Linked DNA regions of Diceros bicornis minor. The protein of the gene in region 2 purifies or fractionates together with the protein of the main gene of each other region. This does not show direct contact. Links are inferred from orthologs where the notes say so. Each region holds a gene or a part of one and is shown on either strand. Other genes may lie near its edges. The genes, in order: HAX1 and CHEK1.

Region 1 (16,026 bases), on a different chromosome or scaffold from region 2:
GTAGATAACATAGATGTAGGAATTAATTTTATGAATCTAGGATAGAAATCAAGTAGCTTCCACTTTTCTTCACTCCCAGTGAACTACATGGGGAATTTGATTTTAAGGTCTAGAGGTCTGGGAAACCAGAGATATAATGCTTCCTCCAGGGGTCACAGTAAGAATTCCCCTTGAACTTTGGAGTCTGTGTAGCAAGAGACAAGCAGACAAGAAAAAGAGTTGTCATATGGGCAGGAGTAATTGACTGTGATGTAGGAGGAAAGACTGTAGCTACACATGGGAGGGAGGAAGAGTATTTTGGCGTTCAGGTCATTCACTATTGCTGCTCCCATGCTCAGTTTTAACAGTAAATAGAAAAGTACAGCAGCCACAGCCTAAGAAGAACATGGTAACCAAGGGAACTCTCAGGGATGAAGATCTGGGTCATCCCAGTATCCAGCTGTCTAGACCAGTAGAGGTGCTTTCCAAAGGTAAGGACAATTTAGAATTAGTGGTGCAGGAGGGGGATAAGAATCCATTAGAGTCTCAAAACCAATTGCAGCAGTGAAGGCTGTGGACTTTTCTACTAAACCTTCTCTTAAAGTTCCCCCAAGAAATAAAAACAATCAGAATCCCATAGAAGTTTTCCCCAACTGGGTAAACTAACCGTAAGAAGTATGGATTTGGGGGCCGGCCCCGTGGCTTAGTGGTTAAGTGCGTGCGCTCCGCTACTGGCGGCCCAGGTTCGGATCCTGGGTGCGCACCGACGCACCGCTTCTCCGGCCACAGGGTCATGCTGAGGCCGCGTCCCACATACAGCAACTAGAAGGATATGCAACTATGACATACAACTATCTATTGGGGCTTTGGGGGAAAAAAAAGGAGGAAGATTGGCAATAGATGTTAGCTCAGAGCCGGTCTTCCTCAGCAAAAAGAGGAGGATTATCACAGATGTTAGCTCAGGGCTGATCTTCCTCACACACACACACACACACACAGAAAAAAGTATGGATTTGAGCAGTGCAAGTGGTAAACTGTAGTAGACACCACAGTGCTTCACCCAGATCCTCTCTTTAGGGTCATGAGCCTATTTCCCAGCTGCTAGGAAGATCAGCTGCTGATGGCTCACAGCTGCCTCCCTCACTGGAAATTACCTCAGCCACATGGAACTGTCTTGCCCTCTCTCAGCAGGTTTCTTTCAGTCAATGATGGGTTGGTTCAGGGATACAAAGTCCTGGCCCCTTTGCCTTAATTTGGGACAACTCGGCAGAATTATTTCCATTCCAGAACTCTCTGTAGAATCCTAGGATCAGTTGAGGACTCAGGTGCAACCACATTGTGTCAGCCGCTCCCTCTGTTCAATCCTGCTTTCTTCATTTCCCTACAGGTAGATCTCCCAAGAAAACTCCCAAATAAATCTTCTGCATGAAACTCTCCTTATCAGAGTCTGTTTCCAGGGGGATCCAATCTAAGACAGTTTTCCCAACCCTACACACTTCCTCCCATTAGCCACCCTCCTTGAGCCTTTCAGGCTGAAGAATATCAAAAGTCACCATATCCCTCCTCTCTTGCTCCTATCAGTGTAAAGAAAGATTAGTTTTATTTTTGTAGTTTCTAAAGTAACATGTGCTCATTATCCTTATACCACACACTCATGTTTCCAGGTGGAAGAACTCCTATTAGACCAGAGGTTGTCAACCAGTGATGGTACTATCCCCTAGAAAGAATTTTGAAAATCTGTAGAGGCAGGATTTTTGTTGTTGTTTCACAATAATGGTGGAGGAAGTTACTAATATTTAGTGGTCAGAGGCTAGATATGCTAAACATCTCACAAGACACTCAACAAAGACTTGTTCTATGTTTTACATGACTTTAGAATGTCCTACCAGATGTACATATTGGTGAAAAACTTGTTTATAACAATATGAGCTCAGAATCTCTGTTTTATATATAAACACAAGTATTTTTTAGCAGTTTTAATGTATACTAAATTTTCTAGGCATACAATCATTATGTAAATGAGGGAAAACAGTACTTTATTTTGTTTGGAACTTTAAGGGCCATTTACCATTTCAGAAAAACATTTCATTTTCATTTTCATGAAACTTGGGTGGCCACATGAAATATCTATATTGGTCGGAATATTTCATTATGGATTCTAGTTGTGCTTGAGCATTTACATATTAGAAAATATACAATTTTCTTATTACTTTCCTTTTATTTCTCCTTTATAGAAAACTTAAGAGTATATCTACATATATGTAATTACTATGTGTATAGATATTATCAATAAATTTCATTTCAGAATATTAAGTAGATGTTATAAATTTTTTGTGTAAAAAAGGTAATGTTGGTGGGAATTCTGGGAAGATAGCAGCAGCAATGAAAGCCTAGTTTTTGGATTTTCTTGAAGCTCCACATAAAAAGATTGACTAGATAGCAAAATCGAAGACTCATTAAAAACATGTACAATAAAACTAGGTGACAAGTATACTTTCAAACCCTGTAGTACAAATGGGTAGGGACGACATCAACAGCCATAAGACCCCTACAGCACCAGTGTTTGTGCAAGAAGCAGAGAGTAGAGAAAAGCAACAGGTTATATGATAAACCCAAGAACAGGAGAACCCCCAAATGCTCCTCGAGTATTCCCTGGAAAGTTCTGCAGGTCAATTTCAGAAGTGCTGAAACTGGCATGGATTTTACTCCTCCAATAGTGGGTGATTTCAAGAGGCCCACAGAAGACAGTCTGAAGGGGCTACCTGATGCACCTGGTCTACCTTCCAGAACAGGGTCCCACATTGAGGAGAAACTACTTGTCAACTTCTACAAAAAAAAAATTACTAGGATTTTGATAGGAATTGCATTAAATCTATAGATAAATTTGGATAGAATTGCTATCTTAAGTTTTCCAATTCATGAACATGGTATATCTCTCCTTTTATTTAGATTTTAATTATCTCAGCAATTTTTGTAGTTTTCAAAAATGTTCAGCTCTTGCACTTCTCTTGTCAGAATTAAGTATTTTATTCTTTATTATGCTATTATGAAGGGAATTGTTAATTTCATTTTCAGATTGTTTGTTGCCAATATGTAGAAAAACATTTTTTTGTTCTTTTTTTGTATATTGATCTTGTATCCTGAAACCTTGCTCTACTCAATTATTACTACAAGTAATTTTTTTTTGTTGATTCCTTAGGATTTTTTCCTACATACAAGGTCATGGCATCTGTAAACAGTTTTACTTCTTCCTTTCCATTCCATTTTCTGGCCTTATTGCACTATCTAGAACCTCCAATACAACGTAGGATAAGAGCAGATATCCTGGCTTTGTTCCTAATCTTAGTGGGAAAGCATCAGTCTTTCAGCATTAAATATGATGTTTGGTATAGGTTTTTATAGAAACCCCTTTTATAGATACCCCATTTCATGTCTAAAAATGTCTATTATACTCCTACATTTAATTCATAGTTTAATTGGGCATACAATTCTAGACTGGAAATAATTTTCCTTCAGTATTTTAAAAATAATTCTCCATTGTCTTTTAATTCCAGTGTTGCTGTTTAAGTTTGAGAACATTCTGATTCCTGATCCTCTGTATGTGATTTCTCTCTCTCGAATCACTTAGATTCTCTTTTGTCTCTAGTGTTCTGAAATTTTGTATGATGTGCCTTGGAGTGGATTTATTTTCATCCTTGATATCAAGCATGTAGTGAGTCCTTTCAGGTTACAAAGTAATATCCTTCACTTCTGGGCTATTTTCTTTACTTATTTCTTTGATAATTTATACTACCCTAATTTTCTTATCTTTTTTCCTTCTATTTTCTGTCTCTGTTATTTGGTCTACTGTTTTGGAGATTTCCTCAACTTTGGCATGCAGACCTTTTTATAGTTTTTCATTTCTGCCATCATATTTTTTTTAACTCCCCAAAGTTCATTCTTATTTTGTTAATTCCTCTTTTGTAGCATCCTGTTTTGGTTTTATGGGTATATCATCTCATATTTCTAAGGATATTAAAGATTTGTGTTCTTGCTAAATTTTCATCTTTCTGCATAGTCTCTGTTTCTTCCAAGTTGCTTCTTTTGTTTGTATGAGTCTCCATCCTTCATGTTGGATGCTGTCCACAGATGTCTGGTAATCTCTGGCTCCATTTGTGTTTATGATGGTACTCTAAAAAGCTGATTTTGTTGTTAGTACCACCAAGTCGATTCCAACTCCTAGTGACACTGCAGAGCGGAACCCTGCCTGGTCTTTTTGCACCAAGCTCTAACCTTCTGGCATTATATCAGACAATGCTTTGCTGCTATTCACAGGGTTTTTATGGCAAATTTTTTCATAAGTGGGTGGCCCGTTCCTTCTTCCTAGTCTGTCTTAGTCTGGAAGCTCCGCGGAAACCTGTCCACCATGGGTGACTCCACTGGTATTTGAAATACCTGTGGCATAGCTGTCAGCATCACACCACCACACAGTGGCCATAGTATGACAACTGACAGATGGGTGATGTAGTTCCCTGACCAGGAAACACTTGAGCCATGGTGGTGAGAGTGCTGAATCTTAACCACTAGACCCCCAGCACTGACTGTAAAAAGCTGACTAGAAATCTCAATTGTATTCTTATATACTATAGAAGTTAGTGGGGAAAAAAAAAAAAAAAGGTGGGAGGATTTGTTCTACTAAATACAACTATAGTATTTAAAAGTGTAATATGGGTTCAAAGATAGATAAATAGATTAACAGAAAAGAGTAGAAAGACCCAGCACAGGGACATACATGTATTTATATATATGTATGTGTGCACATATGTTAATATGTGTGTATATATGTGCATATGTGTATATATTTTTTCCCAAATGAAAAAAATGAAACTGGTCCCCTGATTCATACCATATAGGAAGATAAATTCCAGGTGGATTAAGAAAACTAAATGTAAAAGGCAAAACTGAAAAACTCATAGAGGGTAATAAAGGACAGCATCCTTTTAACCTTGGGTTTGGGGAGATTTCTAAAAGATATAAAGAGCACTAACCATAAAGGAAAAGATAAATTTGGCTACAATGAATCATCTTCTGTTCACCAAAAGATATAAAAAAGAGAATAAAAAGACAAAAGTTCATTACTATATCTCCTCTCCTTTGTTCTTGTGATATGCCTCTTTAGAAAAATCCCTTTATTGTTATTTTCGTGAGGTTTCCAGAGGAAACAGAGGTAAATAAATTTGTAAGACCTGCCGCTCTAAACCAGTGCTAAAAACTTTTTTAATGAGAAAAAGATCCAGTAATGTTTTTGCTAGTTATACTTTTTCTTACATAAAAAAATAAAAACATAGCCAATAAAGGAAGAAATATTTGCCCATATACTTCCTCAAATGATCTCATGAAGTATCCAATCATAGTGATCCCACATCTAGGGAAGCAGTTATCTCCCACACTTTCACACACTTCCTTTTTTTGTAATCTGATGCATCCCTGTCTATAAATTTTCCTGGAATTATCTCTAGTCATCTTATCTCCTCTGTAAAGAAAATCATTTTCTACTGGTACCTGACCCTTACTTATCAAACCAGGTTTTGAAAGTGGAAAGAAAAATTAAGACATAAGGAGAAAACTGTGGGCAGGATAATTTTGGAAGCCCTGGATGGTGCTAGAAAGTGGAACAGCCTTAACAAAACCAAGACTAAAGAATTAGCATAAATAAACGTTTTATTAGTCAGTTTGGGCAAGTGACATACTGACATACCCCCAATTCACTGTTCGACACACCCAAGCCCGGAGGTGGCAGAAGAGGCTAAGCCCATTGATGGTGAGCAAAGGGTGGAAGGTGGAAAGAACCTGAAGGTCTCTGAGGGTTAACAAGGCTACCGGGACCGGAACCAACGTCCTAGGAATAAATCCAGGATGGAAAAGGTATCATCCAGGGCTGGAGGTGTTGGTGCTTCTGGATCTAAGGAAGAAAGTGATACACTTTCTTGAAATGAAAAAGATTGGGCAGACGCAAAGGAGAAAAATAATATTAAAGAGTAGAAGAGGGTTTCTCTTCCCCAAGGAATTAAAAGATGGACCCCTTTCATTCACACTCTTCACTTACCATCTCTAGGACTGCCACCTGCTTCTTGACGAGTTACTGTGGTCTCTGTCCGACCTTCACTGTCCACCACAGTCCGGCGCTCCTCTACTGTCTACAAGGAGAAGCCCCCACCATATCCCTAACATCACTAAAGGTGAGTTCACTGGTTTCTTTACATAGATCCCTTTTTCCAGAGCATCCTCTGGCCACAGTTCCCTTTACTCCTCTCTCCCAACTCACCCCATCTGGCTTAGTGATCTTGGTCACAGAGACGCTCTTGAAATAGGATTTGGGCTGGGGCTGCAGAACTGGGCCAAGGCCCTCCTGGGAAACCTGGGAATCAAGATCTAGAAGGGCAGAGAGATGAAACAGGAAAGAAAGAGTCCAAAGGAAAGAAGGGGACAAGTGTGGCAGGAAGAAACCTCAGGGAGGAAAAATAGAGGGAACTTTGGGAGAACAGAGGTCTGGTGAACGTCCTCTCCCTCCAGACTCACCATTGTCCTCCCTGGCTCTAGAGTGGGGGGTCACGGGCCACATATCATCAAACTGCAGAAGAAGCCAAAGTAGATAAAATGACACTTTTCAATCTGAATCTTGAGGGATCAAAGTACCCAAATTATTCCCAAGTTCCAAAACTACCTTTTTTCAGGAGAGAGAATCCCATTCAGGATAGCTTTATTTACTCACCCCGCCTTCCTGCCTAGCTGCTTTATGTATTCTTCTACCAAAAAGACTTCCTGAACTGATACTTTTCTGTCCTCCCCCAACAATCCTGCCTTGTCACAGAACCATATAGACCAGGGTTTTGTTTTGTTTTTTTTAAGAAAAAACAGAACTCCCAGAGCCAGCCCGGTGGTGTAGTGGTTGAGTTCACGTGCTCCACTTCTGGCAGCCCAGGGTTTGCAGGCTCGGATTCCGGGTGTGGACCTACACATCGTTCATCAAGCCACACTGTGGCAGGTGTCCCACATAAAGTAGAGGAAGATGGGCACGGATGTTAGCCCCAGGCCAATCTTCCTCAGCAAAAAAGAGGAGGATTGGCAACCGGTGTTAGCTCAGGGCTAATCTTCCTCACACACACACACACAAAAACAGAACCCCCATTTTCCCCCAAAGAAAACCCTAAAAGAAGCTTAATATAGAAAATATACACTAAGTGGAGGGCCTAAGTTTCCAACTCAAGTCCATTCGATTCCAACAAGAATGCCAGTCTTTGCACTCCATTAGTTGTCTCCCACAGGCTCTCGCTTCAGACCCAGATGTACTCACCCTATGGAGAGGTCTCTGGGAGCCCCAGTCTGGTGCTGGTTTTGGGGATTCAGTTCTTATGTCACTCTCCAAGACCCCCCCAAAGATCCTGGGCTGGTGGCTATCTGGATACTTAAGCATTGAGTCTCGAAGCGTCTGTCCCTCCTGCTGTCTCTCACCAGGTGTCTCTGCTTCAGGACCTGGAAGTTCTGAAGAAAGGTGGCAGGTGGATGCTGGGGGTGGGAAAGGACTTGGGCTCTTTTAAACCTCCTTGAAATCATCAGTCTTCTCACACTTCCCATCCCCCAACTACTCTCTGCAGGCTCCTTATTTCAACCACCAACCCAGCAGAAACCAAAGGCTCTCCCTCAGGGGCAGCCACACACCAGGAGGGCGGGAAGGCAAGGTCCAGGCCCCCATCTCGCTGAAGATGTTATTGAAATCCCGTACTAGGTCATCAAAGCCGAAGTTATCATGGAACTGCATCCCTCCTCCTGGGCTGAAGCTGAAGCCGAAGCCAAATTCCTCCGGGGGCTGGGGACCCTCAAACCTCGAGCTTCCATGGCCCCACGTGGCTCCTTCTTCTTCCTCTTCCTCATCATCTTCATCTCGAGTCATCCCTCCAAAAAAGGGATCTCTGTAGTTGGGGTAGAGGCAGATTGGCCACCAAGATTTCAGAACTACTTAAACCATAAAATCAACTCACGGGTGGCAAAGTGGGATAAGAGTAGGGTTCTGGGGAGCTGAGGTGAGGTTTAGAGGACTGGCCATTGGGTATTGTTTTGTTTTGTCTTAGTTTTTATCAGTCAGTCCTCACCTCGCAGCTCCCCTAAACACCTCCCCTCGGCTTTTCTTCAGTGTCCCCCAGCCCCTCCCCTCTTTCCCAAGCTCCTGCTCACTTGCTCATTGTCGTCTTCCCCAGAGCCCCACTGTCTTCCCCGCCCGGGCCCTGCTGCATCACCCCAGATTGGAGAAAGGCTTAAGGTGCTGTTTCTCCTCCTCTTAACGACGCCTTGGCTACTGCTGCGGGGTGAGTGCTCAATGTTGTGACTTCCGTCCTCTCCGCAGGAGTTGAAGGAGTAGGGAAGAGGATGTTTTTCCAAAAATTGGGTGTTAGGGGTCAAGCTCCCCTCAGAAGACCACCCCCCTTGTCCGACCCGGACCCACTCTCACCTCCGAGGTCCCGAAAAGCCGAAAAACCCCCGAAAAATGTCAAAGAGGCTCATTCCCGTATTGGGACTCGAACCTTCGAACCGTACCAGAGGCCCATTCACACCTGGGGGCAGCCTACGCTTCGCTGTCGGAAACTGAGCGAAACGTCAGACCACGCTGCCGGAAAGCAAGCCTGCGAGCAGGACACTGTCGTAAAACGACCGTACGCTAGACGCCGGTAGGGGGCAGGCCGGACAGTCCTCTCAAATTCGAAAGGCTTTCCTTACCCCTGTTTACCTGTTTCCTGTGAGGGTAGTGGGCGGGGCAAATTTCTATTTCCCAGTGATCACCTGCCTCCTAAGCCGATTCTCCTGATTGGACCAACCCAGTCCAATAGTGTTTGGAGGGTTTGACGCTGGATGGTACCAGATAAAGGCACCAGGTGGCAGTCCATCCCCACAAATGAAGCGGTCCGAGACCTTCCCTCACCGCCGGCTCATCCACGGACTACCGGTCCTTCCGTCTGAAAGCCACCTCGCCCCTTTCCTCGGTCCTGCTGGTTTGACTGACCTAAGTATAACATTAGAGGGTTGGACAGCTGTTTTATCAAGCTCCTTCTAGTACTGCATTCCCCAGAATTGTGCAGAGATAAAGACACGGGGATGCAAGGACTTAACTTCCTCTCCAGCTACTAAGGAGTTTGTCCTAATTATGAAGGATTCTTTTGATTCTAGGCATGCTCTGCAACCAGCAGGATAACAGCTTTCTAAGAGAGCAAGGGAAATCTAGGGAAGGGTCTTGAAAGGGAAGAATTTGGGGCTATAATTATCCCCCTTTTCCCATCATTGATTTTCAAACCCTCCCCCCCTTGTACCCGCCACCCCCATCCCAACCCTGGCCTTGCTCTAGACTCTTCCTTTTTAAGGAGTTGGGTATAGCCATGTGAAATGAAAGCACTCAACAAGCAGGAACTGCTGTAGTCTACTAGGAGAAATGAGCCCCAAGCGTCAGTTTTGCCATCCAACAGTGTATGTTGCCTCCCATTCTTTCCAGTTCATTTGCCTGGACCCATCTAAATTATACTTGGACTACAAAGCCATTTCTTTCCGCTCCTTCTTAATCCTCTTGCTTTCCATCCAATATCCACTATCCCACTCCCTTCACTGCCTAAAATCTGCTGTAGATGTCGATTTCTGGAGGAAATGAAGATTTGTGGTGGTTCTTTCCAGGCACCAGGCTGTGCAAGTCTTAGGGGAGAACGGAAGGGAATCCCCTCAAGGGCAAGACAGTAGCACATTAGGGTCAGAGGAGTTCTTAAAGGGTGAAGATTTCATTTTATTCCACTGCCTTCGGGGCCTAGAGGCCCAGTTGGTACAGTAATACTTATTCACCAAGCTGGTCATCGACGAGACTGAGGATATCCTAGACAGAGTAAGAATGGGCAGAGGCTGAAGGTAAAGGTTTTTTTTTTATATATACAAGACACATTAATCCATTAAATTTGAGGACACAGTACAAAAAAAAAAAACACTTCAACTAATTCATCTGACAACGCTTTTCATATTCATGACGCCATTTTTTGTTGTTGTTGTTTTGTTTCCTAATAATAAAGGAGGAGACTTAGGGCTGTTGGGCTGATATATATTTGGGGGGGCCCCCTCCCCACCTCACCCATACACCACCAGGGTGAACAGGAGGAGAAGGAAGGGCAAGGCCCACAGCAAAGTTTCATAATCTTGAATGCAAGGGGGGAGGAGGAGAGGAAAGGACCAAAAAAAAAAAAAAAAAAAAAAGGAGAAAATACAAATCCTATAATACATACAACAGAGTGGGGATGGGATGGGAATGGGACAGACATGAAGCTGAGGCATGGGGTGGGCCGCTGGGGGTGGGGGGCAGCGGAACCCCCCCCACATTCCTTTCTCTCTTTGATGCTGTTTCCATAGTTGCCAGGCTGAGAAGCCCTCTCAGAAGATGGGACCGGGAGAAGAGGGTCAGGGCCTCAGTTGGCCCCCCAGCTGTAGCTGTTGTAGGCAGACTTGTTGGTCTGGGGCTTCTGCGGGATGGAGCTGGTCTGGCTACGTTGCCCGCTGCCCGTCTGCAGGGGAATGGGGAGGATGATGGGGAGGAAAAAGGTGTGTAGTTAGGACAAACTGTTATATCTTCAGGTGGAGATTTGGAAATTGCTCTCCCATCCCCCTTGCTTAGAAACGGCTCTGAAGCTTCTCAACAATAGAAAATTCGGTTTATATGGCTGCTAGAGCACCACTGATAAGAAAGCACTTTCTTTAGATAGGGGAAAGATGAAAAGAGGGCAAGATACCTTTAGAGACAAGACAGTGAATCAGTTCTATGCATTTTCAAATCCCCCTCACCCACCCCCACCTCCATCCTCCCCTGGTCTGAGAAAAGGCTACTCTCTACAGAGAATTATGGCCTCTTGGAGATGAGTGATCACAAGGTGATTTCATTTTCATTGATCCCCATGAATGTCTCAATTTGGAAAGCTGTCTTGGAGAGCAAGGAAGCTCTTATTCCAGCTCCCCAGCCACCTATGATGGAGCAGAGGTCGCTCACACCACCCCGTGGCTCCCCACCCCTATCACACATCACATCTGTGAGCCCATTTCAGGAGAGAGAGTCTGAGGCCCCAGGCTCCAGATGCTGCCCAAAGAATCCTTTCCATTCCGGTAACCAAGTGTTTCCAGAGTTAGGGAAGGGTAGAAAGAAAAAGAGGGCATTGAGGAGGGGAGGACAAGAGAGGAATGGGAGGCCAGAGAGCTCAGCAAGGTGTTGTGTTTGTGTATCCCGATTTGTGACCGTGCAGTCTTTTCTCTTCAAAGTCCCTAAGGCTGTGGAGGTGAAATGGGGACTGAAAAGGAGTGGGTTCAAGCATATCATCATTGAGTTTCATTACCTGCTCCTCCTGCTGGCGCTGGCAACAGAGAATCATCTGCAAATATGGTAGCTGAGGCAGAACCAGGATATATGGAAAATAAAGGGACAAACTTTGACAATAGAACTCCACCATTAGAAGGGAAAGCTATAATGTCAGGGAAGGGGGAAGGCTGGGAGAGGTAAGAGGGGAGGTGTGACCAAGGTCTAATGGGATGAGGACAACTGTGCTACGGGAGGTGGAGGAGAAAGGCAACAAAGGAATGGGGCAAAAAAAGGTTTCAATGGCCCCTCCTCTGACATCTCCTTTGCCGGCCACTTGTGTTATGTGCGCTTGTGTCTGTATGTGCTGTGTGCCCATGACTGGCGCTGGGGAGGACTGGGTGAAGGTGGTGGTGAGGAAGGGTAAGAAAAGGAGAGGGGAGGCAGTTTTAAGGGACAGGAAGGAAGAGGAAGGGAAAGGAGAGAGGGAAAGGGCTATTACCTGGCCATCCTGCTGCAGGTGATGGTGAAGGATCTGGGAGTGCGGCTGCTGATGGGGGGTCAGAATGTGCATAAAGGGGGCAGGTGGATAGGCAGCAGCTGTGGCCGGATTGATGGGCCCCCCACTTCCTAGGGCTGAAGGCAAGTTGAAGGAGGCAGCAGGAGTACCGGAATGAAAACCTTGTTTCTCAAAGGACTGCTATCCAGGAGGATGCGAGGAGAGAGAGTAAAAGGGATCAGCAAACTAATGCCTGGAATTTCGGAGCCCAAGCTCCCCCACCCTCAGGAAGCAGCACAGTGTCATGGAAACACTGCACCTGAAGTCAGATATTCCAGTCTCGGTCTCAGCTCTGCCCTTTAATAGCTGTGTGATCCTGAAAAAATTACTATCTCTCAGCCTCAGTTTTCTCATACATGAAAACAGGGATGCTACTGACCTCTCAGTTGTAAGGACCAAACGAGAAAATGGATGTGAAAGCACTTGGTAAAATCTAACGTCATATACGAACACAGTGAAATCTGCTGGCTACTCTTAGCACCCTTCCCCTAGAGCTGGGTAGAAATTAGAACTGCTTGGATATTTCAAAAGAAATGAATACACACTGAGGTATCTTGAGTATTAAAAGTCTTAGCCCTGAAGCACTCAACCGTAACTCCTAATACTTTATCAAAATTTTAATTATTTATGGTGGCAGGTGAAAAACAGCACAATACACATCTGTGGATAACTGAAATGCATCACTTTAGCTACTGGGTTGTCTCCTTTCCCACTCTTTGTTATCCCTTAGATACTTACAAAGAATGGAATAAACTAGTTTCCCTTCATTCGACACTCATTCTCTTGGAAAGTGATGAAAAAGTTGGGAGTGGGTAAGTAAAGGGCCCAGACAGCTGCACAGTAATTCACACAACATATTACAACAATTTGCCACATCTCACCTTCCTGTAACACTTCTCTTTTTGTCTTTTTCTAGAGAACTAAATTTAAACTTCTTCAAGAAACTGAAGTCTGAGACCATTCATTTTCTAGAAGGATGGGTTTCCTGACACCTCTCTTAGGCTTGGTTCTTGTTCACCGTACTTCTATTATTACAACTCTACCTCCTCTGTGTCCATCTGTCTTTTCCCACTTCTATCCAGAGCCAGGCACCTACCTGGGTTTTGGAGTACACAGAACCCGAGATATCTGGCACGCCCGTGTTACTGGAGGTGACTGATACACCTGGGGGAGGAGGAAACAGATAGGAGGATTAGCTCAGCTAGCTGCCTGGCCCCTATCCCTGGGAGGAGGTGATGTGTGCAGCCTTTCTAGCTATAGCACTGCAAGGGAATTTTGGTCTGTTTTCCCAGCTTCAGGTCAGTCCTGAGGGATAAGAGCTCATGAAACAAAGGCTACCTAAAGGTTCTCTTGCCGGGGGCCGGCCCAGTAGCATAGTGGTTAACTTTGCACACTCTACTTCAGTGGCCTAGGGTTCACAGTTCAGCTCCCAGGTGCGGACCTACGCACTGCTCATCAGGCCAGACTGTGGCAGCGTCCCACGTACAAATTAGAGGAAGATGGGCACAGATGTTAGCTCAGGGCCAATCTTCCTCACCACACACACACAAAAAAAACCCCAAAGGTTCTCTTGCTCTTTCCAGATGTGTACTGAGTATATGTGTGAGAGAGTGAGGTGAGTTTGTTCTTTTTTTTTTTGCCGGGGTGGGGGTGGGGGGGTGGGGCGGATTTAGCCAAACCTCACAAGCATACAGTTTTCAAAATACTTCTGTGCTAAAGCCCAACAGAATGTATTAAACTTTTAATGTCCATTTCAAATCAATCTGCCCAAACTCCACTCAGTCCTGCTCCTGAAGACAGGTAGTCTGGCTCTTTCTGTTTATGAAGAGACATCTGGGGGCTCAAAATCCATCCCTCCACAGCATAAGGTAAGTACTAGAGGAGCAGTCCAATTCAACCCTCAAGAGCACTTTTATTCTCAGAGCCTCATCTCACTTAGTCCAGCTTCTCCAGAGTCTTGGAGCTTCTAGGCTATATACTTATGATTTAAACAGCTGACACAAAGATGAGTTTCCATTTACATAATTTAAGTCTAAGCATGGGAAGGAGAAGGAGTAAAGAAGGTAGACAAGGGTAGGCTATCTCTACAGCATAGGTGGAATACAAAATCCAAATGTCATTCTAGTTTACAATTCAGCTTCTCCATGAGATAAAAGCTCTAATCCATACTCCAACAACTTGCATGTTTCCTGTTGATAAAGTCCCTACTACCACTACAACTTTAAGGAAACCAGAGTAGTACAATTCCTCATTTTAATTTGTACTTCTTAAACTGAAATAAACATACTGTACCTCCTGGGATATGGGGCAGTGGGTCAAGGAGATAGGAAAAAGCCATCAGGTAAAATAATCCAGCATCTTACTAGAGAAATCTTATGCAAAGATTTGAGGAAAAGTAACTCAAATTTAACTAGGAATTTAAAGCATGCTTTTTAAAGATATTAGTTCTCATGAAGTGAGATAAAATGAAACTTCAGAAAAACTTCGCATTTCAGTCTATGTCCTTGGATCCTTCTCTTCTGCTGTTAGGAACACTACAATGGAAGAGTTCTTTAGAAACTCTGTACTAAAGTAACCAAATCACAAATGAGGAATTCTCCATTCACCCACAATTCAACAGCAATCCCCCTTCAAACTCTACAACCCAAATCCTCCGAATGTCTAGGACAAAGGCAGCCTTCAAAAGTTAAGCCCACCTTGGACAGCCACTTTAGAATCTTCCCAATAGAAGTGGCATCTTAACCTGGAAACCCCTCCCACATCACAAGTCCAGATAGTTCCAGGGAGGAGCAAACACCAACTAGGAAAAAGAACAGAACTACAGAAAGCAAGCATGATAAAATACTTCCCCATCTCCAAACTATCAACTCTCTATACTTTAAAGGCACTGAAGTACAAAGAAGTGGACAATACAGGAGCTAATGGGGTATTTTTTCCCCTTCCCTTTTCAAACCCCAGGTGCCCATCTGGCAAATCACTGGTAATACGCATAACTTTAAGAACAGGAGTTCATTTATGGAAAAGGCTAAACTAATGAGGTTTTTGTGGAAGGGTTGAGAGTAAGATGGAATACACAGGATATAAACAGAACATTTTTGAGGGAAACCAGGAGACAGTGATTGATCTTTACTGCAAAGGCTCAAACAGCTTGCTGACACCTCTTGGTCATCCCATACAGGATGGGAGAAATGGCTAACTGGATTCTCAAGCTGGGTGGTAGAGAGGAATTTAGTTCTGATGTGCCCCTATCTGGTCTCATTTCTTTCCAGAGGCTAGACTAGCTAAAAACTAGCGTCTAAGTCTCGAAGCCTTAATTTGGATATGGGTTGAAGGGACTGGAAATGCAGGAAAAAAGAGAATACTCTGTGTAGTAGGTGTAATAGATAACCTCACTGGAGAGCCTAGAAAATAATGGGTCTTGGTTTTCCTACCTTTCAGCAGTTATTAGACAGCTCCTCAGATTACAGAGTTCTCTTGCCTTCCTTCCAACAGTCAGCACCCTGTCTATCCCTCACTCCCAAGCAGTGATGCTCATACTAACCATGATGTGGACAGCAGGGAGGAGAAATAAGAACCCATCTCTCCCAGCATGGCAGCCGCTGGGAAAGTTGGTCACACTCACAGGATAAAATTACTCCAGAGGGCTGGGAACAAATACAAAGAAAGTGGAATGCCTGGGTTTCCAATTAACCAAGGACAGTGTTCTCACTGTCTCACCATTCCTACTGTCTTACAGTTAACACTGTAAACAAAGGGCTGATGGTGTACTAGTGGGATTGAGTGGGGATAAGAATTTCCATAGTCAAGGAGATGTCTAACCAAACCTCTCCCACACATTCTTAGCTACACCTACAAGTACAAAATGACTAGTAATCCACAATCCCTGAAAAGCCATCAAAAGACTAAGAACAATGTTCCAGGCTAGCACAGTTTCCACAGCCTGCATCATCAACTAGCTGGTCACTAAAGACTTTATCAGATCTCAATCAGCCACTTGGCCTTGGGGAACAAGATATGGGAATTAAGCCTTGGAAGATACTTCCCTGACAACAGCTCTAAACATCATCTCTTCTGCCTTTCACCAGACATGACACTCAATAAACTTTTTTGTCCTTTCTCCTCTGCTTATGTCAGAGGCAAGGGGAAG
Region 2 (16,152 bases):
GTTGGAGTCAGGGTACTAAAGAGAGGAAGCCAGAAAAAAAATATGCTGGTGGTCAGAGTAGAATGCTTGAAGAGAAGATCACTAGAGAAGAGAAGGTCAAGGAAATGTGAGGTCAGGATACTGGAAAGATCATCCAAATAAATATTTAAATCACCAAGAACCATGACAAAAATTATATCAAGAGTCGTGTTGGAGAGAGCGACAATGCAGCAGGAATTTTAATTTGGGGTTCAGAAGTTGATTATAACAAGGAGGGAATAGTGGGTGGTTGAGTCTGATAAATATGAGATTCAAAATGGAAGGGAGAGGAATGTGGGAAAAAAGGAAAGTGACAAGAACAAGAAGAATGCCCGACCCACTCCCAGATCAAAGGGTACAAAGGTGTGGGAGAGAAAACATCTACCACTTGAGAGGAAGCAGTGTCCTCAGGGGTGAGTTGAATTTCAATTAGAACGAGGTGAAAGGTAAAAGAAACATTCAGAGAAGAGTTAAAAATTCCTCATTCTCCCGCTGTCCTCTCCTCCCACTCACAGCCAAACTTCTTGAATGAGCTACCTATACTCTGCTTCTTCACCTCTCTTTTAGACTACAATCACTATACTCTAGAATTTACTCCCAACTCTCCACCAAAACTGTTCCTGCCAAGATCATGAATAACTGCCATATCACGGAATCCACTGGACAAATTTTGAGGCTTCATGTTATTAATTCACTTAACAGTATCTGCCACTGTCATGCATTTTCTTCTCTTAGCCTCAATTACTCCACATTCTCTGACGTTCCTCCCACCTCTCTGGCTACTTTTCTGTTTCCCTGGCCCCCACCTACCACTTAAATGTTGGCATTCCTTAAAATTTCATACACTCAATTTCGTCTACCATCATAGTTTACATTACCATCTATCTGCAGAAAACACCTGAACTGACATCTCAAGCCTCACACACACATACACATAAATACCTACTGGACAGTTTTACTTAACTTCTCAAATTCAACATGCCCAAAATCAAATAAAATTTTCCCCCAAATCTGTTTTTCCTCCTGAGTTACATCCCAGTAAATGGTATCACCATTTATACAGTTGTTCAAACCAGAAAGGAGTCATCATTGATTCCTCATTCTCCTTCATTTTCTACATATAAACAATCATCAGTCCTATCAACTATCAATTCTAGTTCTTAAATTTCTTTGGAATATCTCTCTTCTTTCCAATCCCACTGTCACCAACCTAGTCCAAGCTACCATCTTCTCATGTCTAGGATCAAAAACAACTTTTAAAAAAAGTAGCCAGAAAGATCTTTTAAAACCAAATATATGATCATGTCATTTCCTTGCTTAAAAGCTCTCAAAGGTTTCCCCAATGCCCTTGAGCTAAAGCCCAAAATCCTTAACATGGCTTACAAGGTCCTCCTCCACTACTTGATCACTACCTACCTCTCTGGCCTCATCTCAAACATCTCTCCCTTCTCTCTTCACTCCTTTACTCAACAAACATCTACTGAGTGCCTACAATGCACCATATACTGTGCTAACCACTAGTGATACAATGAACAAGCCAGACACAGTCCATGCCATAGTGGCCTTCTTTCAAATTCCTCAAATGCACCACTTTCTAAACCCCAAGACATTCCAAATGCTGCTTCCTCTGTTCAGAATCTGCTACTCATCTTGCTAGCACTCATCTGGCTAGCTCCTCTTTAATCTTCAAACCTTAGATTTAATATGATTTCCTCAGGAAGACAAGTTTTCTCCGTCACTTAAGACTTGGTCAAACACTTAGCTATAGTACCCTGACTTTCCACTTTATAATTATTAATAAATGTAAAATTATTTTTATGTTTGTTTTTCCTACTAGTCATTATAAGCTCCATGAGGACAGAGACCACAGCTATCTTGTACTGTTGACTTGTGATACTGACTTTGCAAGTACCTTTTCTTTCACAGAAAAATATACTTGTTTTTTAGGCAAACGAAACCAGGATCAAAATGAATAGGCAACCCACCGGTTGGGAAAAAATACTTGCAAACCATATATCTGACAAGGGATTAATCTCCATAATATATAAAGAACTCACACAACTGAACAATTAAAAAACAAACAACTTGATCAAAAAATGGGCAGAGGAAATAAACAGACACTTCTCCAAAGCAGATATACAGATGGCCAATAGGTATATGAAACGTCACTAATCATCAGGGAAATGCAAATCAAAACCACACTAAGATATCATCTTACGCCTGTTAGGATGAATATAATCACCAAGACAAAAAACAACAAACGCTGGAGAGGCTGTGGAGAAACGGGAACCCTAATTCACTGCTGGTGGGAGTGCAAAGTGGCACAGCCTCTATGGAAAACAGTATGGAAATTCCTCAAAAAATTAAAAATAGAAATACCTTATCATCCAGCTATCCCACTACTGGGTATCTAGCCAACAAACCTGAAACCAACAATCCAAAGAGGCTTTTGCACCCCTATGTTCATCATAGCATTATTCACTATAGCCAAGATGTGGAAGCAACCCAAGTGTCCCTCAACTGATAAGTGGATAAAGAAGCTGTGGTATATATATAGAATGGAATACTACTCAGCCATAAAAAAAAGACAAAATCATCCCATTTGCAATAACATGGATGGACCTGGAGGGTATTATGTTAAGCGAAATAAGCCAGAAAGAGAAAGACAAACACCACATGATTTCACTCATACGTGGAAGATAAACCAACACACAGACAGAGAGAACTGTTTGGTGGTTACCAGGCCTAGTGGGGTGAGGAGGTGGGCAAAAGGGGTGAAGGGATGCATTTATATGATGACTAACAAACAATAATGTATAACAAAAATTTCACAATAAAGAAAAAGAAAAAGAAAAAAAAATACTTGTATTTTAAGGATATTACCTTTCTTGAGTGGTTTGTTGTACCATCTATCTTTTTTGATGTCAGGGATGGTAATCCTTACTGACGGATTCTCAACTAGGATTTTATGCAGTAGAGCTGAAAACAAAACATTAAGACAACATTTACAAAAGAGTCATGCACATTAGAAAAGCCTATAGCCTGTGGTATGGAACACATTCTCTATTGGTCTCCTTACAACCGAATATTATTTCTAGGGAAGAGAAAAATAAAGCTACTGAAGTATTGCTTTAATTTCATGCAGTTTTTCTTTGCTACTGTCTATATCTTAGAATATTCTTCCCAGATCTGATTCTCAGTTGTCTGCAACTAAGAAGAACAAGAGCCAGGTGGAAATGCTTCCCCCCATGTGATAACATTAACAAAAAAATACAAAAACCCCCTTATCCATTTTCAGTACCCAACTTCATTGGTCCAATATGTCATGTTAAATCCTCATTCACACAGTTTTATAAGGACAATCTACTTTCCAAAAACTTTTTCTTTTGGTGAGGAAGATTGACCCTGAGCTAACATCCGTGCCAATCTTCCTCTATTTTGTATGTGGGATGCCGCCACAGCATGGCTTGATGAGCAGTGTGTAGGTCCGCGCCCAGGATCCAAACGCTTGAAGCCTGGGCTGCCAAAGTGGAGTGTGCAAACTTAACCACTACACCACCAGGCCAGCCTCTACTTTCCAAAAACTTTGAAAGAGACAGTCATATAAGCAACCATCATCCTAAAGTATCTTAATTATCTTGACAAAAAATTCATACATCTCCCACTACCAAAATCATTTTCTAATGGACCAAAGATTTAAATGAAAAAATGGAGCCATGAAAACATAGGGAATTTTTTTCTAATATTAGGGATAGAAAAGACCTTTCCAAACATGACCATATAGTGAGAAACCACAAAGGACAAGATAATAGATTTGAATAAATAAAAATATAAAACTTTTGCATGTCAAAATAGCATAAACAAAATAAAAGTACATAAATGGTGAAAAATATTTCTAACAAATGTGAAGATCTAATGACATTAATGTTTAAAAAAAAAAACTCACACAGTAATAAAACCTCCCTGTCAAAAATGAGCAAAATAGACAATCTACAAAAATAGACAAAAAGCCAATAAATATATAATGGATATACAACCTCATTGGCACTAAATTTAAAATAAAAATAAAAAACAGTGAATGTATTTTTTAAAGGCCTATTAGAAAATTAGTCAAATATTTTTTTAAAAATATAAACCAATGAGATGGTGATAAAATGGTACAAACTTTCTGGGAAGCAATATGGCAAAGTAAACCACAATAATTAAAAACTATATACATCCTTGACCCTGTAGTTCCACTTCTGGGGATTTTTTTAATTAAACAATTTAAAGGTATGTGCATTACATGGATGATCATCATTATCTCTTTCATAACAGTGAAAAATCAGAAAAAGTCTAAATCTCTAAAAAAGTGAACGGGATGAGTATAGTAAGGCATATCCACACAGCAGAATACTATCATAGCCTTTAAAAACAATGATGTAGACCTGCAATTATAGTTATGGAAAAATGTCCACAAAGCATTAACATAAAAAAACAGGTTACAAAATAGCATGTGTAATGTGATCTCATCTTTTGTCAAAACACACATACTTATAACTAATATACATATATAACAAACATATATTAAATATTTTTACAACAATGTCTAGAAGCACATATCAAAATATTAAAAGAAGCTATTTCTGAATGCTGGGATTATAGGGTTGGTTTTTTAAAAATTTTTATTTATTATGTTCTAATTTATCTACAAGGATCATGGATTATTTACATGATTATTTAAAAATTAAAAAGAAAAAAAAATGTAAGAAAAAAATTCAAAAGGCAGTAGGCTTCATTATCCAAGAAATCAGTACTTTCAATCAAGATAACCCAGTTACCTAGAGGAACAGAATCGATTTTTTTCCAAGGGTTGAGGTATGTTTTTTTTTCTTTCCAATCAGAATATTCTTGACAACTGTCACTGGGCTGGTCCCATGGCAATTCTAAGAAAGAAATAAGTCCCAGTTATCTGAGTGCTCGCATCGTTATACAGTAAAGATTTTAAGGGAAAATAATCAATTACACAAATCCATTAAAAGTTTCCTCAAAATTAATTCAATATGGTTTTCAAACCAAAAATGCAACTCACAAAAATTTCAGAGGCACTTCAAAGATGGATGAATCACTTCCTGCCCTACTCTTTCCAAAAGTATTCACATGAATCTTAAAAGAGATAGCTATTGTGTTACCTCATTTATCAGCTATACATACCTGATTTTTAAAAACTTTTGGGGTTAAAAGTTCCAACTTAGTTATAAATAAGTTACTATCACATAAATATGGATTCCCTTGGTTTATTTCATTCATTTTGGTCTAACACATTTGGCTTTCCATAAGACAGGAGTTTTATCATGATTAAACAGCTGTTACCTCCAGCCAACATCGCAGTAAGTACTATTCCACAGGACCAAACATCAACCGGTTCTGCATGAAATTCTTTCCTCTTTAGAAGTTCTGGAGCAACATAAGGTAAAGTACCACACATCTTGTTCAATAAACGTTCACGATTATTATGCCGAAACACTGTCGCCAAGCCAAAGTCAGAGATTTTGAGGTTATCTAAACCAAAGGAAAAAAGAATAGCACCGGATAAAAATGTTTTGTATATAGATATACCTAAAGGAATTAAGTTTTATTGGAAAATCCCTGTTGTTACTTAAGGTTCATAGAACTTCTCTACCTTAAAATGACCAAAAAGAAATTTTAAAAAACAACAAATAAAAGACATCATCATCTAGCTATAACTAGAAAAAGGCCTCATTGCTTCTATCAACTTAAGAGAAATACCATCAACACACAAAACAATATGGACCACGTTAAAGAAAGATACTGCCTTCTGGAAAAGTGCATTCCAGACTTAGGCTGAAAGCAGAGCTGAGCCTTTCATCAGATTGTGCAGAGGGCAGAAAGGAAACATCAACAATATACTAGGCACAACTTTCTCAGAAGCAAACAAACCCAGCTGGCAGGATGGTCTTTCTTTTTTTTGGAGTTTTTTTCCATGTTTGTATCTCTAAACAATATATTTTACATATTTTTGACCTTCATAAAAATAGATTCATACTTGTATGAATTCTTCTGCAACTTTTTTTGCTCTATATCATTATATTCCTAAAATTCATCCATGTCATTACTTGTAGCTATAAATCATCCATTTCATAATTTATCTGTTCTATTGTTGATAGACATTTGAGTTGTTTCCAGTTTTTTGCTATTATAAACACCACTGCTGTATATATGCATAATGTTTTATTTTTTAAACCAGGTGGGTACACAGGTGTTTATTATATTTTAATTTATTATATTATGTATTATACATTTTATATAAATTTTTGTGGGCCTGAATTTTTTTTAAGTTTTAAATAAAAGTAAAGGTTTTTATGCTATACAAATACAATGTAAAAGGGTAAAAAGTAGGGGCTGGCCCAGTGGCATAGTGGTTAAGTTTGCATGCTCTGCTTCAGTGGTCGGGGTTTGCAGGTTCAGATCCCCGGCGCAGACCTATGCACCATTCATCAAATCACGCTGTGGCAGGCGTCCCACATAAAATAGAGGAAGATGGGCACAGATGTTAGCTCAGGGCTAATCTTCCTCACCAAAAAAAGAAAAAGGGTAAAAAGTAAAGTCCATATGCACATAAGAAAAAAGCATATATTCTATGATCTAACTTACATTACGTTTTACACATATCTCCACTTGGGTTGTGAGGATAAAGAAGAGAGATATCATATCTCACAACCCAAGTAGATTCTCTTACTCTGCCCATTTTATAGATGAAGAAAGTGAGGCAGAGAGAAGTTAAGCAATTTACCCCAAGGCCACACACCTATTACAAGGTGGCCTAGATTAAACCTAGGTTCAAAGGACTCTAAAGCTTAAGCTCTTAATACTATGGTATACCACCTCTCATATTTAAAGATACATTCAATCCTTCTTTTCCAGAGGGTTTTATGTAGCTTGAAACCTGTATTTAATCAAAAAAGGACTTAATTTGTAGATGAGGAAGGGGAAGAACTAACTGTAATACCATCAAGGCTATTAACATTCAAAAAGTAATGGAAATAGAATGAAAAATGGAAGCGAAAGAAATTTTCCCAGCTGTGCTCTCATTTCTCAGGATTCATCAACAGACCATTCTACAGTTCCTTTTTTCCCACACAAATTTTCTGAATATCTAAAATTTTGCTACGTGCCTTATGAAAGGCCAACTTACAGTAGGTTAAACAACCAAGGGAGGATCTTAGGTAGCTAGGTTAGCAGATGGGTTAATAAAAGGGTATCTAAAAGATATTCATCAAAACATTAACAGTGATTATAACTGATTGGTGAGCTTCTGGTGATTTTTTACTTTCTTCTTTATACTTTTGCTCTTACTTCATGATTATCTTTTATCTTTATGAAGGGAAAAAAACCAATACTTTAAGTTTGGGAACAAAGTTCTCATATTCCAGATATTATTACATACTCACATCTCCATTTTTTAGTAAATAAAGTGGCTTCTCTTAATTTATCCCCTCATATGAAGGTGAATTATAGAGTTCAGGAAGAGGTTAGGAGGCTGATAAGAAAGTACAGTTACCTGTCATGGTGAACAATGCTGCCAGAAACACTAAACCTCAGGGTTAGACAAAATCTTAAAAGTACTTTGGTCCAACTAGCCAAGCAACGTTTAAATTCCCCTTACCATATCCCTGATGATAATAATCCAGTGTTTGACTCTCATGTTATAAACTCACTATATTCTAAAGCAACCTATTAAGTTTCTGGACAGATCCATTAATGGGGGTCATCCCTGTACTACCTTCCACATAGTTTTCACCCACATATTCTGAAGAACTGTATTCAACAGGTAGCAAGTTTCCACCGAGTTCCTTCAGTTATTCCTTATTTTACATAGTTTGTGGCCCTTTCATCATTCTAGTCAGTCTCCTATAAAAGTACTTCAGTGGTCTACGTGCCTTTTACACTATTGTCCCAGGACACCCATTATTTCCGGTGTGGCCTCACTGAAGAAGTGTTGGACTGCCATCTTCCTCATTCTCAATAACATCAACTTAAGTTTCCTAATGACCAAATTACACTGGGAACTAATATGAAGTTTGCTGCCAGCTAAGTCTTTTTTAACCTGCTTTGCTGCCAAAGATATGCCACTCAACTATACTTACTTGGTTAGTTTTTTCCATCCAAATACTGGACTTTAGATTTTTCTCTGTTGGAGAACAACTTGTTAAATCTGACCCATCTCTCTGGTCTGCTAAACTCATTCATTCAATAAATATTCTTGAAAGCCTATTTGCCAGGCTCTATTCTAATGCATTAAATAAAGCATTAAACAAAACAGACAAAAGTCACTGCCTCTTGCAGCTGACATTTCTGTCATCTCTCTTTTTTTTTCCCCCCAAAAGCCCCAGTAGATAGTTGTATGTCATAGCTGCACATCCTTCTAGTTGCTGTATGTGGGACACGGCCTCAGCATGGCCGGAGAAGCGGTGCGTCAGTGCGTGCCCGGGATCCGAACCTGGGCCACCAGCAGCGGAGCGCGCGCGCACTTAACCGTTAAGCCACAGGGCCGGCCCTCTGTCATCTTTTTGGATTCTGATTCTATAAGCTAACACTTTCACTAGCCATCCCTCTCAGTTTTTATGGCATCCATAAAATATATCTAAACTCTTTTCATCCAAATCATAGATTAAAAAGAACAAACAGGGGCACAAAGCTAAGGTCCAGGGTATTCCAATAGAAACTTCCCTTTATTAATTTATTAAAGAGTTGTTTAAGACTATTCATATAGTTATTCATATAGTGAGCTACCCTTGCATCTAGGTCAGATTTCTGTTTCATCCACAACTATATCATGAAAGACTCATAAAGTCTAAATATACTGAGTCTCTCAAATTTCCTAGACTTTTCTTTGGATTTTTTGCCCTGAAATTTCAATAACACAAAAGCCTTGATCCTGCGTTGTACAGCTATATTAAAATAACTTAGGTGGCAGTGACAAAATGCTCAACTTACCCCTTTCATCCAATAGGAGATTTTCTGGCTTAATATCCCTGTGAGTTATTCCAATACCATGCAAATAAACCTAGGAGGGAAGCATACCAAAGTTCAGTAACTTACTTCAGTCACACTAATTTTAAGCAAAAGGAAAAGAGACAACTGTACCTACCACCCCTGCCATGAGTTGATGGAAGAACCTCTGAGCATCTTGTTCAGGCATGCCTATGTCTGGCTCTATAGGAATTAATTATGAAAGTTAGTTTACCAGGTAAATATAATCAGGCATCAACCACAAAGTCTCCTAATGCTAAGGTTAGACATTTGTGATTGTACTGTAGCAACAGAATCTTATGCTAACAGTTAAAGACTCTGGAGTTCACCAACTCATATAGTACTTAATAGCTCACATTTTCCCATCTGTTCGTGGCAAAAATAAATTAACATCACAGGAAAATTACAGAGACCAAAAACTATCATCCAAATCAAGAATGCAAGCCATACCTTGAAAGCCCCTGCTCATCTTACACTAACCATGATCTATATGGTATCCTTCAAATTCTCCTCTAATTTCTTCTAAATGCTATAACAATATTTCTCCTACCTCTGAAATGTAATTGCCAAAGTGTAAGCCTGGGCAAATCTAAGCTAATTTCACTAAATAATTAACAAAAGATTTAAATTTCATATACTCTCTCACTACTACAAAGCTGTGAATGTCTGTGAAGTTCCTTCAGGAAATACAGTTTTATTAAGAAATGTTCTATTGTCAGTTATCTTTTTGTACTTTGATCTCCCTCATTAACTTTTTTTTAAACGTTTTATTTTTTATTATTTTTTTCCCCCAAAGTCCCAGTAGATAGTTGTATGTCATAGCTGCACATTCCTGTAGCTGCTACATGTGGGACGCAGCCCCAGCATGGCCAGAGAAGTGGCGCATCGGTGCGCGCCCAGGATCCGAACCTGGGCCGCCAGCAGCAGAGCGCACACACTTAACTGCCAAGCCACGGGGCCGGCCTCCCTCATTAACTCTTGATTTTTTCTACACTCAACTCTCTCCTGAGATACATATTGGAGATTCTAATAATCAGTTTTTAACTGTTAATACAATAGCTTTAAATAATCAATTTAGATTCACAGAATATAATTTATGTATTCCTCAGTGTTCTGTAATATAAAGCCTTTGAATCTACATAGAATATTTAGGTGGCAAACACAGACATTACTTAATATATATAAAGCAATCCTAGAACATTCTCAATTATTTCATTTAAATAAATAAAGAAGAAATATAACAACATGCTATTATTTATTATTTTGTATCTGTAAATGTATGCAATGATTTTATGTAACTAGAATGTCTACAAAGAAAAAAACTGTCTAGGCAAACAATAGATTGCAATTATAATACTTCACCATGAGATTAGTTTATCATTCTTAAACTCTACAAAACAGCAATCTCAACCAAAATCACATATACAACTTGGGAAAAAAAGTTTTCTTTGATGACTCTATATATGCTTTCATGTGTTAACATAAGTTGCTAAAACAAGAAAATTTACTCCAATTTCATTATTGCATAAGCAATTGGACAATGATCAAATAGCAGACCCAAGATTCAAAACCAAATTTAGAAATTCGTTTAGTAGAATAAGTATCTTAAATCTTTTCCATACCTATTCTATCAAAAAGTTCTCCCCCACTGCAGTACTCCAGAAATAGATACTGGATATTGCCTTCTCTCCTGTGACCATAGAATTTCACTACATTCTCATGATTTAACATTTTATTGATACAGATCTCTTTCTTAATATTTTCTGGACAGTCTATGGCACGCTTCATGTCTACTATCTTCACTGCAACTGCTTCTTCAGTTCTTCTATTCACAGCAAGTTGAACTCTAAAAAGGAAAAGGAAGACATTTGAATTCTTTCTTTTAAAACTTCAAAAGATTAAACATGACTCATCCAACTATTTTACCTTTATTACTTTCTCTACAAAGGAGAAACCAAGGAAACAGTTTCTGCCATGTTCTCAACAGATACTACTCCTTTCTGACATGTAAGGTATGATAGTTAATGTCCCAAGGAAGTCATTATGCTATACATCCAAAAGTCATTTAATAAACGCTTGATAAAATAAATTAAAATGGGATAACAGCAATTGTATGCCACATCACATATATGCATACACTATTCATTTAATTTTAATAACATTACCTAACATATATCAATCCGACACTACATACACCTGTGTTAACTGTTCTAAGCATCTATGCGGTAGGTACTACTATTGCCATCTCACAGCTGAGGAAACAGAGGCACACAACCGCATTAAGAAGCTTGCCCAAGAAAACAAAACAATGACCAGTATGTGACAGAGTGAGGGTTCGAAACCAGTCTGACTCCAGTGTCTGTTCATTTGCTCACTTAACCACTATGCTTAAACCCCAGGAAGGGATATGTGGGAAGAGAAACTGACTTTAGAAGTCTCTTCCAGCTCTTTACAAACACTGTTGGAAAAAAGCAAGAAAAAAATTAATTCTTACAAAAGATTGTGCAGCTTCAGTTCCCAAAAGTCTTGGATTTCAAATGCAAAGATCTGTTCGCTAAGGCACCACTGTATTAGAATAAACAACTCCAAAACAATGAATATGTATGTACTCAAACAAGACAACAGAGAGAAAACTAAACAAGCGTGAAGGCAGGGTAAGCGGACTCAAACTCACTCTCCATAGGCACCTTCTCCCAGGGTTTGCACCAAGTCCCAGTCTTCCACAAAGGGCACTGCCATGACTCCACTACGAACCACGGCTGCAAAAGGTAGGAACCCAGAAATGATGGGGATGAGAAGAAGCCTCAATTATCTGTAAAGCCACTGAGCTCTGGCTCTTGCCATGATTCCTCAATATAAATAATAGCTCTTGGTTTCCCCTTACACCTCATCCACATTTTATCCAAGTCTTTTAACCACAAGCAAGTATGTATTCTAAATTCTGGCACTTTGTTGTGTTAATCACAATCCGCATTCCCACGCAACCCGACGGCTGAAACTCCGCCTTCCTCAGGCCTCAGAAGAAATTTAATAGTTCTGTTGAGGAGCTGGGGTACAAATGCTTTACGGTGGATGACTGGGGAAGAGGGTGAAAGAGGTGGGGTTTGGGTGGGAGAGTAAGAGGATGCGGCCTCATGGGGGCGGAAATAATAACTACGACCCCTGCAGCCCCTCCTCTCCACTTGCTCAGTCCCAATACCCACTCTCACCCCGTCCCAAAGGCCGGGAGGAGCCGGGGCGGGGCCAAACTGCCCCAAGAAGCGGAAGGGCTGGGTGGCAGACGGACGGCCGGGGCCCAAACCCCTGGGGTTCTCAGCCAGCAGAGAGTTGGTCTCTCCAGTCCCTCTACAATGGGGACCCCCAGTACTCCTCCACCCTCCGAAACCGCCCTCCGTGGGAGTCTCTCCGATCCCCTTCGCCTGTCCCCGGTAACATTCTCTCGCCGTGCCCCTCCTAACTAATGTGGACCCCGAACTCCTTCTCCAAACTGGTTACCCACCCTACCGACCGCCTCTCCTCACCCTCGTCCTTTGCCTGCCACCACAGGAATCCAAATACGGCGCTTTTCCCGCCAAAACTTGCTCGCGTCACACGGTCGCAAACGTGCGCACCCTTGCCGTAAAGCAGGAAAGCGCGCGTTCCCGTGACCGCTGCCGTAAGAGTGGCCGCTTCAGGTGGCGGGCGCCGGGAGGTTACCCCCAGGTTTAAGCAGGCCGGGCCTTGGGTTACTTTGGAGTCGAGGCAAGGTCCTGGCTGAAGAGATTTAAGAACTGCCCGCCGCATCAGTGCGCATGATCTCTGGGCCCAGACGCGAAGTGGTCTCCGGTGTGGGACCTCGGCCAGGCGGCCCTCACGCTCCTGGGCGGAGCCGAAGCCCCTCCGGAGATGTGCCTTGACACAGCGGGCGGCGCGGTCCTCGCGTTCGCGCCCCCTGTGTTCTGGACCTGGCGGGCGGGCGGGATACGTGCCTACACCGACCAGCTCGGGAGCTCCGAGCACCTCGCCCGGCTGCTGGCAGGATTGTGAGGATCACATGCAATGACTGTTGCCTCTCTATGTAACTTTAAAGTGCGCTACAGAAAAAACGAGAGCGGAGAAGCTAAGAGCTGCTGTTGTAATTGATCTTTTGAAGAGTGAAAGGAACTTTGTGGTGGGAGCCAGAAGCATCAAAAAAGACTGGCCACAGAGGAATGAGGGTGGGAACGCGCCCGGATGAAGAAAGCTATTTATTTGTAGTTTGAGGTCATGTCAGGATAACCAATCTTATCATGTCTGAACTGGCTCCAAAACAAGACCTTAGCCCAACCTTCGTAAAGTAGGAGCATCTGCATAGCTTAGTTCTACTCGCTTTTTCATTCTTAATGTGTAAGATACAGGCAGGTAGAAGCAAAAAGGCGTTTCGCCTCATTTTACAATGCCAATGTTAAAAGTAACCAGTTTAAATGGGAAAGTAAATTCAGGGAAAGGGGACTTGTTTGAGCACAAAATAATGTGGAAAAACTGAAATAGGTATACCCCCTTGACAGTAAACTAGACTGGGAACTCAAAACGCAGGCAAGATCATCTCCATTCAATTCTCCAGTTCTTAAAACTGGGCCACATACGTTGAGCATAACTTGCTCTTGCCTGTGATACTGGTAATAGAGTAAGTGTAAAATATATTACACAAAATTGCATACATGTGTCTTAAAGTAGCAAAGTCAGGGCTAAAAAAAACAAGACCAGAACATTTCAAAATGCTTACGCAAGAAGTTTTTAACCATGACATCACAGTTTAGGCTTCATATAATAAAGTTTTCGAAGTCATTTACTCCATTTTCTGTAGTTTCTGCACTGTGTGCTGCAAACAAAGAATATGAAGAGAGAGGAGGATCTGTACAGTTCCTATGTGTCTGGATAGAATTAAGGTATTTTAGCCTGAAAGAAATCAGTATACAGGATTCAGGCAGAATACTACTGCAAGATAGCATGTGGGAGAATGAACGAATGCACACAGTAGCCTCTATTCTCTTCTGAAACTTTACTAAAATAGTAAATTTTAATAGTAAATATTAAAATAACAAAATAGTAAAATTTACTATTTTAAAATAATAGTAAATTTTTAAAAGGCAATAACCCACAAGAATAGAGTATGAAAAAAAACCTTTTGGAAAGTGGCAAGTCTTTAGATGAAAGGTAACTTAGATGAAAGAAAGACGAATCCTAACGCCAGCAATGAGAAAGCAGAAAAGCAACATGATTTGCATCCCAGAACTCCCAAAGGCTCAAGTAGAATTATCAACACCAGGTAACTGAATGTGGAGGTGAACATGGGGCTAAAAAGAGGGTAGGTTGAAAGACTATGTAAGAAGCAAATAAACCCTTGGATCCTCTCTGTCCTCTGTATACCCAAAGAACTGCCCCTCCCTGAAACAGACACAAGACTTGAGAGGGTAACACGTGGTATCTGAACTGGACAGCATCAGGCATAGCTAAAGGCTGTTGAAAACAAAGGGATCAAGTTTAAGTTTATGCACTGAAAGTAGAACCTCTGAGCCTTTTTTCCCCCACTTTACTCCCAGAAATCTGGCAACTTGGCTTGTATCCTTAAGAGGATATACATGCCTTCTCCAGGGAATCTTATCTATATAAAAGAAAAGATCAAAAGATACCAATATCCGGACTTCCTAACAACTCAGATCACAGGAGAGGGAAGCCCACATTCAATAAGCCCCACCCCACCCCAAAGAGCCCTTACAATCAACTTTTTAGGGTCCCACTCTTCAAAAAGGGCAGACAACCAAGAATTTGAAAAGGCCTTTAATAGGAAAAATGTCAAAACAAAGGAATATTCAAACAAAAAACCTCTTGGACATTTAAAAAATATGATAGCAGAAAAAAAGGAAACTAAATAGATATGTTAGAAAAAAAAGTTTAGGAAATCTCCCAGAAGGAAGAGTAAAGATGGAAAACAGAAGGGTAAATATAAGAATATTGAAAGACTAATCCAGGAAGTCCAACATCCAAATAACTTATTTTTCAGAAAAAGAAAGGGAGTTGAGGGAATCCACAAATAACTCAAGAAAATTTCCCTTAACTGAAGATCTTGATTTTCTATACTTAAAAGTTTAAAGTACCCAGCACAATGGATGACCCACTCCAAGACACATCATTAGGAAAATTTCAAAACATTACATACAAAGAGAAGATCCTAAGAGGTCTGGGGTGGGAATGAGAGGGAATGGCCACATACAAAAAAATTAAGAATCAGAATAGCATTGCATTTCTCAACATGTAGAAAATAGAAAATAATGGGCCAATGCCTTTAAAATAATTCTAAGGAAAACTTCTTCCCAACCTGCAACTCTACCTAGCCCACCTCTCAATTAAATGTCACAAGAAACATGCAAGATCTCAAGAAATTTATCTCCCACAGGCTTTCTCAAGAAGGTACTTAGAGGTGATAAATCAAAGAAATCAGAGGATTAACACACACAAAATGACAGTGAAAGAACACACCAACCCAAGAAGTGTGTAATCTAGAGTAAACCAATCCAAACTGGGACATACCAAAACAGAAGACATCTCTAAGAATGAGTTATCTAATAAGTCTGAACACATTAAAAGGATTAGTTGGGGGCCGGCCCCATGGCTTAGCGGTTAAGTGCGTGCGCTCTGCTGCTGGCAGCCCGGGTTCAGATCCCGGGTGCGCACCGACGCACGGCTTCTCTGGCCATGCTGAGGCCGCGTCCCACATACAGCAACTAGAAGGATGTGCAACTATGACGTACAGCTATCTACTGGGGCTTTGGGGGGAAAATAAATAAATAAATAAATAAGAAGATTACCTTTAAAAAAAAATAAAATAAATAAAAGGATTAGTTGGCACAAATGAAGGAGAGTTTGGGGAGAAATTAGTGACAAGTACAAAAAAAAAAATGAAAAATCTCCCTCCGAAAAAAAGTTATGCAGAGAAAAAATAGTAACAGTATACCACATGGTCTAGTTGTGAAAAGCCATAAGGTAAAACCTATGGAGCTAACCTAAATCATAACTATAATAGAAGCTTAAAGATGGTAAGAACAAGTGTGGCCATGGGAACAGCAGGATGGGGAAAAAGAG

What was found.
Region 1: the proteins of CHEK1 (region 2) and HAX1 purify together in Homo sapiens (affinity purification with mass spectrometry; 3 studies listed by BioGRID and IntAct, with this or other methods). This does not show direct contact. The link is inferred for Diceros bicornis minor from reciprocal best matches to the Homo sapiens genes CHEK1 and HAX1.

What each region holds. Positions count from the first base shown.
Region 1 is NC_080743.1:58,333,095-58,349,120, reverse strand, and holds HAX1 (HCLS1-associated protein X-1), read right to left. Parts: upstream 8,562-16,026; 5' UTR 8,518-8,561; coding exon 8,465-8,517; intron 7,929-8,464; coding exon 7,678-7,928; intron 7,501-7,677; coding exon 7,313-7,500; intron 6,590-7,312; coding exon 6,538-6,589; intron 6,391-6,537; coding exon 6,284-6,390; intron 6,156-6,283; coding exon 6,065-6,155; intron 5,921-6,064; coding exon 5,835-5,920; 3' UTR 5,662-5,834; downstream 1-5,661. Other genes in the region: UBAP2L (ubiquitin-associated protein 2-like), read right to left, coding at 10,446-10,541, 11,361-11,411, 11,823-12,020, 12,976-13,043. UniProt on the Homo sapiens protein: Recruits the Arp2/3 complex to the cell cortex and regulates reorganization of the cortical actin cytoskeleton via its interaction with KCNC3 and the Arp2/3 complex. Slows down the rate of inactivation of KCNC3 channels. Promotes GNA13-mediated cell migration.
Region 2 is NC_080746.1:10,461,834-10,477,985, forward strand, and holds the start of CHEK1 (serine/threonine-protein kinase Chk1), read right to left. Parts: upstream 11,811-16,152; 5' UTR 11,791-11,810; coding exon 11,726-11,790; intron 10,898-11,725; coding exon 10,674-10,897; intron 9,235-10,673; coding exon 9,170-9,234; intron 9,086-9,169; coding exon 9,016-9,085; intron 5,560-9,015; coding exon 5,371-5,559; intron 4,944-5,370; coding exon 4,839-4,943; intron 2,998-4,838; coding exon 2,902-2,997; intron 1-2,901. UniProt on the Homo sapiens protein: Serine/threonine-protein kinase which is required for checkpoint-mediated cell cycle arrest and activation of DNA repair in response to the presence of DNA damage or unreplicated DNA.